2 linked regions of the Sus scrofa genome follow. The protein of the gene in region 1 purifies or fractionates together with the protein of each later gene. This does not show direct contact. Links are inferred from orthologs where the notes say so. Each region holds a gene or a part of one and is shown in the gene's direction. Other genes may lie near its edges.

What was found. Proteins that work in one complex are often made in the same cells at the same time.
Region 2: the proteins of HSPB11 (region 1) and IFT22 purify together in Homo sapiens (affinity purification with mass spectrometry; 3 studies listed by BioGRID and IntAct, with this or other methods). This does not show direct contact. The link is inferred for Sus scrofa from reciprocal best matches to the Homo sapiens genes IFT25 and IFT22.

What each region holds. Positions count from the first base shown.
Region 1 is NC_010448.4:158,355,742-158,359,389, forward strand, and holds part of HSPB11 (intraflagellar transport protein 25 homolog), read left to right. Parts: intron 1-1,122; coding exon 1,123-1,229; intron 1,230-2,798; coding exon 2,799-2,867; intron 2,868-3,648. UniProt on the Homo sapiens protein: Component of the IFT complex B required for sonic hedgehog/SHH signaling.
Region 2 is NC_010445.4:8,978,766-8,983,205, reverse strand, and holds the start of IFT22 (intraflagellar transport protein 22 homolog), read left to right. Parts: upstream 1-1,570; 5' UTR 1,571-1,720; coding exon 1,721-1,759; intron 1,760-3,578; coding exon 3,579-3,655; intron 3,656-3,782; coding exon 3,783-3,872; intron 3,873-4,142; coding exon 4,143-4,345; intron 4,346-4,440. UniProt on the Homo sapiens protein: Small GTPase-like component of the intraflagellar transport (IFT) complex B.

The sequences.
Region 1 (3,648 bases):
TTCTTTTTAAAATTATATAATTATGTACTTATATAATGGTATAATTAAAATAGAAATATTATTTCTGTAGTCAATACTACATATATATGTAAAATTGTGCATAGTGCAAGACTAACATTGAATGCATGTATTAATTTGTTTCAACAAACATCTATTGTGTATCTACTATGGGTCAGCCATTGTGATAGTTACTGGCAATATAAAGATGAGGAACAGAGGAGTTCCCATCACGGTGCAGCAGAAACAAAACTGACTAGTATCCATGAGGTCACAGGTTCGGTCCCTGGCCTCACTCAGTAGGTTAAGGATCTGGTGTTGCTGTGAGTTGTGGTGTAGGTCACAGACGCAGTTTAGATTTGATGTTGCTGTGGCTGTGGTGTAGGCCGGCAGCTATAGCTCCGATTCCACCCCTAGCCTGGGAACTTCCATTTGCTGCCAGTGCAGCCCTAAAAAGACAAAAAAAAAAAAAAAAAAAAATGAGGAACAAAGTGACTGGACTTAAGGAGTATGTAGCTGGAGCAATAAAAACACAAGAAAAAAGTGCCATCGTAAAAATGGATGCTGTGTGTGAGGTGAATGCAAAGGAGGAATCAAGTTATTCTGATTTGTTGGAGTTGGAGAGATGGGACCAAAAAGTGAATAAACTTTTGCAAAGGAAGAAGGGCTTTTTAGGGCAAGAGAACCTCATAAACTAAGACACAGAAGCATGAGCCTGCATGATGTGTTTACAGAATTTTAATCTTGGTCCAATGTGACTAATGGGAGATGATATCATGTTGGGGGATGATATACTTTAATGATGGGACCAGATTGTCTGGGGTCGTAAAATGCCATACTAAGGAGTTTAGGTTTATAGGCAATAAGGGGTCACTACAGGCTTTTAGACAAGAGTGACATCAATTCTGGGTTTAAAAAATATATATATAATCTGGTAGTAGTAAAGAATGACTAAAGTTGGAGAGACATTAGTGGCAGAATGAACAGTTAGGGGTTGCAAAATCCAATGGTTGTTTTGGGGTTTTTGGTTTATTTTTTAAAATATTTATTCACTAGAATTTTATGATTAAACATTTCTAAACATTTGGCTCCACTTTTCTTTTTTTTCTTTAAAATCAACAATAGAAATCCAGAAACATTTTGGACCACCACAGGGATGTTTCCCCAAGAGTTCATTATTTGTTTTCACAAACACGTAAGGATTGAAAGGCTTGTAATCCAGAGTTACTTTGGTAAGCATATCATGTTTTCATTTCATTTCATTAATTTTCATCACCTTTCAGTTTTTCCATAGGCAGAAGGCACATATGTAAACTTTTGGCAAAAAGACTAATTTTTTTTTATACCATGGAATCCAGTTTTATTGCTGGGGTCAATGGGTGGAGAGTGTGGGTTGACTGCCTGGAGCACAGTTAGCCTCTCTGAAACGGCAAATTTGAAACCCTTCCAAAGCACGTAATAATTTCCATGCAATTTGCTATGTGAAAGCCTTTGGCAAAAGACCCTGTTATGAACATAAGAAGCCAGCTTGCCAGAACACTCGGTTTCTTGATGTCATTATTCCTGATTCTTTTGGCCAGGGTTCTCTGTCACATTCTTTCTGAAAATCTGATAACCCTGATTATTTGCATTTGGTAATTTTGATTCTTTTATTAATAATGGCGTTTTCTGAGAGATTTGGGAGAAGTCTCTCCCACTGGAACATCATCCTAATCTTGTCTTATGTTTATTTAAGGATAAAGTGTGTTAGAATCATGGCACGAAACACGATACATCCCAGATGGCTCAAATGAAGAGACGTTAGTTATTGCGAGGACTACTTACAAAATTATGGCCTGGGTTAAGGGAACAAACTAGGGCTGGTGAGACACCCGAAACTGACTACAGCAGTAAGCCACTACCTCCCCTGGGCCGAGGGAAGGAAAAGTACTGCTGGAGCTCAGTGAGAGCTAGAGTCTGTGCCTGAGGGCCTGCCTTTTAGGAGCTGTAACCAGAAGGGACATAACCCCTGTCAAAGACCCAGCACTGAAGTGGGAAGGGAGTGGAGAAAATACAACCCAACCTCACTTCTCCCCGCCCTCCAGTTTCTAGTCAGTGCCTGCAGTTGGCCAGATCTGGCCACTGGGCAGTGGGCAAATGAGTCCAGGGGACGCAGTCCCCAGCAGTCTTTCTCCCAGGTCACAGAACAGAGAAGGGGAAGAAAGGATGTGGGGCAAGAGGAGCTGGCCTAGGAGTAAGCGAAAAACCAGTGCAGCAGGAAAATGACTGTATTCTCTCTTCTGTCATTACTTGTAAAGGCTCTGGACTCATAGCTAAAGTTTGCGTTCCAGTTCTGGCTGACTAACTCTGTATCACTGAACACCTTGCCTGACTTCTCTAAGTTGCCTGATTTCTTTAGGCCTGTTTCCTCATCCTAAGATTGAAGTCCAGTGAATAAATAAATATATCTGACTCATAGTAGTTTTTCCATAAAAGTTTATGACCGAGACCACTGATGTATTATTATCTACCAGTATGCCAAAAAAAAGATGATATCAAATTCTGAAAGGCTATATACTAGCTTTGTGTTTTGTGCCTGCAAATATTTGCAAGATTGCAGTTACACAGACTGTATTTTACATAGAGACTTATGGAAAAACAGAGAGGCTGAGTGATTCTCATAATGTGGTGGTCCTGATCCCAGTACTTTATGCAGTATCACCCATGCTGAAGTCTTAGAGGAAAAAAGGACTATGGGGACAACAACATAAAACCGGGTAGATAATGAACACTTTATTTGTTTTGTTTATTTACATTATCAGTGCAGACCTTGAGGATTGAAAAGAGCACTTCTAAAGATCCGGTGGATTTTGAGCAGTGGATTGAAAGAGGTATGTGCTTGTTTTACCAGCATTGTTCTGATCATCAGGGAGTAGAGAATTGCCCTCTCCTGTCTAATCGGGCTACATTTTGGTAAAGATGACTTGAATGATTGTTGTGACATATTTAGGGCACAGAAAAACCCAGGTTTGAAAACGGATTCTTCTTCCCTTACTGGTTATATGATTGTTAATGTGATACTTAATTTTTCTGAGTTTTAGAATCCTTATCTGAAAAACAGAGATGATCCTACCATTTAAAGTTTTCATGAACACAGTGTCTGATAAATGGTAGACGAACAATAAATATTACTTTTTCATCTTTCCTTCCTTCCTGATTAATGGTGCTATTTGAATATCAGCAAAATTGGTAGCCTCTAGTTAAACACAACAGATTGACCTCGTGTGTCTATCTCCTTTTCTTCCCCAAATACCGTGAAAATAATAAAGGAATAAAGAGAAGCGTAAACCTGTAAGGAAAAAAAATAAAAACAAACAAAAAACCAGGAGACCAAAGCAAATATAGGAGATCAATGTATATTATGGAAGAGGAGTTCCTGTTGTGGCTCAGTGGGTTAAGAACCTGACATAGTGTCCATGAAGATGTGGGTTCCATCCCTGGCCTTTCTCATTGGGTTAAGGATCTGGCATTGCCACAAGCTGCAGCATAGGTCACAGATGCAGCTCAGATCTGGCATTACTGTGGCTGTGGTGTAGGCCAGCAGCTGCAGCTCTGATTTAACCCCTAGCCCAGGAACTTCCATATGCCACAGGTGTGGCTATAAAAAGAAAA
Region 2 (4,440 bases), on another chromosome or scaffold:
AAAGGTAGAGCAGCCTCACCAAAGGCGTCAGGACACAAAAGGAGAGAGAGGCTACATCAGCTGTTGTATGTCTATCCCTCGATTCCTTGTTATGTAAGAAAATAATCAATCTCTTATTTGGTTAAGTCGCTGTGGTGGAGTTTCTATTACACATAGCCAAATACAGTCCTGGCACAGGCTTCCAATTACCCTTAGCATCCACTTCCAAAGTCTTACTTAATCTCTCCAACAGCACTTCCTGCCATCCCCTTATTCTTCCTGCACCCATGTCACCAGCCCTATGTGCCGTTTTCAGAATATGCCAAGTTTATTTCCGCCTCAGTATCTTTGCCCTGCTGTTCTGCTGGAATGCTCTTCCCCTAGATCTTAACATGGTTAATTTGAGCCCTCTCTTCACTTAGCTTTGGGTATGTGCGAGTGAGCACAGCTCAGCAACGCCAGGTCCTTAACCCACTGACTGAGGACAGGGATCGAAACTTTGTCCTTATGGATGCTAGTCAGATTCATTTCCGCTAAGCCATGCTGGGAACGCCTTAGCTTTCTCCTTTAATGTCACCTCTGCAGCAAGGTCTTGCCTTCACTACACCATCCAAAATTGGCTCCTTCACACTCCTCACCTCTTCAGTGATTTATTTTTATTCATAGCACTTACCAACGTCTAAAATTGTCTCTACCAGAGACTAAGTTGTTAACTTGTTTACTTAATATCCATCTACTCCACTGGAGTGAAAGCCTCAAGAGGTACAGGCACATCCTCAGTACCTAGAAGAGTGCCTGGTATACAGCAGGCATTCAAAAGATATTTATCAATTAACGACACCTTTAAGTTGGGGCAGACTCTTCCTTACAGTTCAGTTTGTACTGCAAAAAAGTTCTTTGCAATTCAAACAAAGATTTGGTATTGGATTTATTTACTTATTTTCGTTATGCTAGCATTCTGGGGGGTCTAGCATATTTTGTATTGGCACGCTTGGCACACAGATACAATTTCAAGGCCTCACCCAAAATTCTGTACCGGCCCTGTAATTTAAAGCTGCCCTAATGACTGAATTTAACAGCAATGCGTTCAGACACCTGCACTGACAGCGAACAAGGCCGAAGCATTACAATCCTTTTCGTTTCTCCCAGATTATCCAAAAGCCAGTGAGGGGTGAATCTCTATTTAGAGACTCGTTTTCCCCTGACCTTTTCTAGACTGGGCCAAGGATAGGATAACTCCGTTCCCAAGGTGGGCAGTATCATGCCAGAGTGATAAAAGCGTCAGAGGCTGGTTCCAACACCACCTCACCTGCTGTTTGGCCTGTTTGACCTCTTTTGGGGTTAGAGGGCGGAGTAAAGGAGATTGGGGATCCACATTCCGCCTCCTCCCTGCAAAGTGTGATGCCAGATTGGTGAGCTCTGCGGGCTCCACTGCTCAGAATCAAAAATGGATCCGGATTTTTTGTTTCCTTCCCACCCTCTTCCTTTGCCTTGCCGCCCACCTCCAATCCGAAGCTCACGTTGTGCATCAGGGAGCCAGCAGAGGATACCAGAGCCCTTGGTGCGCCTAGCTCCGCCCCCGTAGGAACCCGCCCACTCCCGTCGGCCCCCGCGGCCGCTCCCGTCTCCATGGGGACGAAAGCAGCCAACCAGCGCGGCGACTTCAGCTCCGCCCTGAGGACCACTCTGACTCGGGCAGCGCCCAGGTGGGCTCCAGGGGGCCTGCAGACGGTGGACGGCGATGCTGAAGGCCAAGATCCTCTTCGTGGGGCCCTGCGAGGTGAGGCCGGAGCCTGCGGGGCGGCAAGCCGGGCAGACCAGCGCGGGGTCGCCCCCAGCGGCCGTGTTTTGCGCCCAAAGCCCCACAGGAGCCGGGAGCCCAGTCCTACCGCGCCCACCCTGGTGTGAGCTGCTGGCTTCACCTTGAACTCGGGGCTCCCAGACCTTGACTCGGTTGTACTAAGGCCTGAAGGCCCAAGGTAGTGAGTGGCATTATGGAATCAGAACCTAGATCTCACGACTCTCCTTTGCGCCCATGACTATCCCTAATGAAATATGTCTGCCGGGTGAGAAAAAAACGGAGGAAAAACTTATCGATTACGTGGTCGTGGAACAGTTAGCTTTTAATGTGTGTGGCAGTCGGGGAGAGGGAGGAGTGGGATTAAATCTAGCTTTGTACTTCACACCGTACACAAGAATAAATGTGTAAAACAATTTTGTTAGTAGTAAACGAATAACTCTTCAACTTCAGCACGCATCAGAATTGCCTTGTGGTCTTGTTAATAGCACACTTTGCCCATCCTATCCCAGAGTTAATGATTCAGTGGGTCTGGGAGGGACCTGAGAATTTGCATTTTTTGCTGATGCTGGTTGTCCAGGAACCACCATAGTAGATGAACATGTGGAAAGATGTGTTTTTTTTGTTTGTTTGTTTGTTTTGTCTTTTTGCTGTTTCTTTGGGCTGCTCCCGAAGCACATGGAGGTTCCCAGGCTAGGGGTTGAATCGGAGCTGTAGCCAGTGGCCTACGCCAGAGCCACAGAAACGCGGATCCGAGCCGAGTCTGCAACCTACACTACAGCTCACGGCAACGCCGGATTGTTAACCCACTGAGCAAGGGCAGGGACCGAACCCGCAACCTCATGGTTCCTAGTCAGATTCGTTAACCACTGCACCACGACGGGAACTCCGAAAGATGTGTTTTGAATCTGGAGACAGGGAAGGTCTTCTTAAAAACAACACAAAAATGAAGAAGCCTTAAAAGAAATATTAAAGTTAAAGCCAGGGGAAAGTATTAGAAAAAGGCATGACAGAACGAGGATTCATAGGTAAAACAAACATACAGGAAAGTTTGAGAATGAGTAAATAAAAGAGAAGCAGCTCAATAGATAATCTAGCAAAGTCTGTGCACAAGAAATAGACTTGACCAGTAAGTATGAGAAGATGCTCAGCCTCACAATCACAGGAACACAAAACAAAAAGATGACACTGATTTGCTTGGCAGTTTGGATGAGAAAAGTTTAGATGACTGATGATGTGCCATGCGAGGATGTATGGGATGCATTTTAGGGAAAGGAGTATTCTAGGATTCTATTGATGGCGCTACAAATTGGTAACAGATTTTTTTGGAGATCAAGTTACTAAAATTTAAAATGTGCATAGCTTTCAGTGTGGCAGTTACATTTCCCAAAATCTAAGGACTCACCCATGTTCCCCTGAGTTGTTTACAACAGTGACCAGGTGGAATCTCCCTACCTGCCCATCAGTCAGAGAATGCCTAAATAAACTAAGACATCTTCTTACTTTGGAAGACTGCAGCAACATAACAATTGTTTTCTCATCTAGAGCTTCAGGGCAAGCCAGCCGGGGGACATAGATGTGGGTAAAGTCACCCAGCAGCAGAGCCAGCACTGAAGGCTGTGCTCTCTGGTCCCAGAGCGGCTGTGCCCACCCATCTGGGGAGAGCCCTCCACCCAGGTGGTCTGGGGTGGCCTGGCCTCTTCTCCACCACAACTGGGTCCAGGACAGCCATTAGAGGACTTGCTCATGGTTCACTATTCGCCTCTTCCACAGAGATCATTTATTATCTTAATTTCCACAGAGCGGGAAAACCGTATTGGCCAACTTTCTGACAGAATCTTCTGACATTACCGAATACCACCCAACCCAAGGAGTGAGGTGAGCCCTGACAAACCTGTGTCCCACAGAGTCCGCAGCCGTCACCCAGCCCTACCTTTGGTGCCAGTGCTGTTCCCAAAGTATGACGTTTCCTAAGGAAAGGTGCCGCTCATGCTTTTATCTTTAGGATCCTGGAATTTGAGAACCCTCACGTTACCAGCAACAACAAAGGCACCGGCTGTGAATTTGAGCTCTGGGATTGTGGCGGCGACCCAAAGTACGTTTCCCTTAAAGAATGTTTGCTCCCTCAAGTGATTCAGAAATCCCCTGCCCGCCAGACACCTTGAACATGAGCCTGGCGCCCTTCATAGCATGTGTTTAGGGCTTGATCAATTACTGACACATTGCTCTTGAGACTTTAGTGCCTGGGTCATGATACCGTGAGAGGTCATCCATCAGTGATTCATACTAAGAGATTATTTTTCAAGTCCCCGATTAGAAACCAGAACCACCTACCCTTCCACCCGCATCCTTTTCTGCTGCGCAGGTTCGAGTCTTGCTGGCCAGCTCTGATGAAGGACTCTCACGGGGTGGTGATCGTCTTCAACGCTGACATCCCAAGCCACCTGACGGAAATTGAGATGTGGTATTCCTGCTTTGTCCAGCAGCAGTTTTTACAGGATACTCAGTGTCTGTTAATTGCACACCATAAGCCAGGCTCCGGAAGTGATAAAGGAAACCCCACTTTGTGTAAGGAGCTTGGGGTTCTCCTTTCTACTCTTGTCTGAAATGCTCTGGGCATCTGTATATTGCTCTGTGTCTTTGAAACCAGCAGCTCCGTGCAG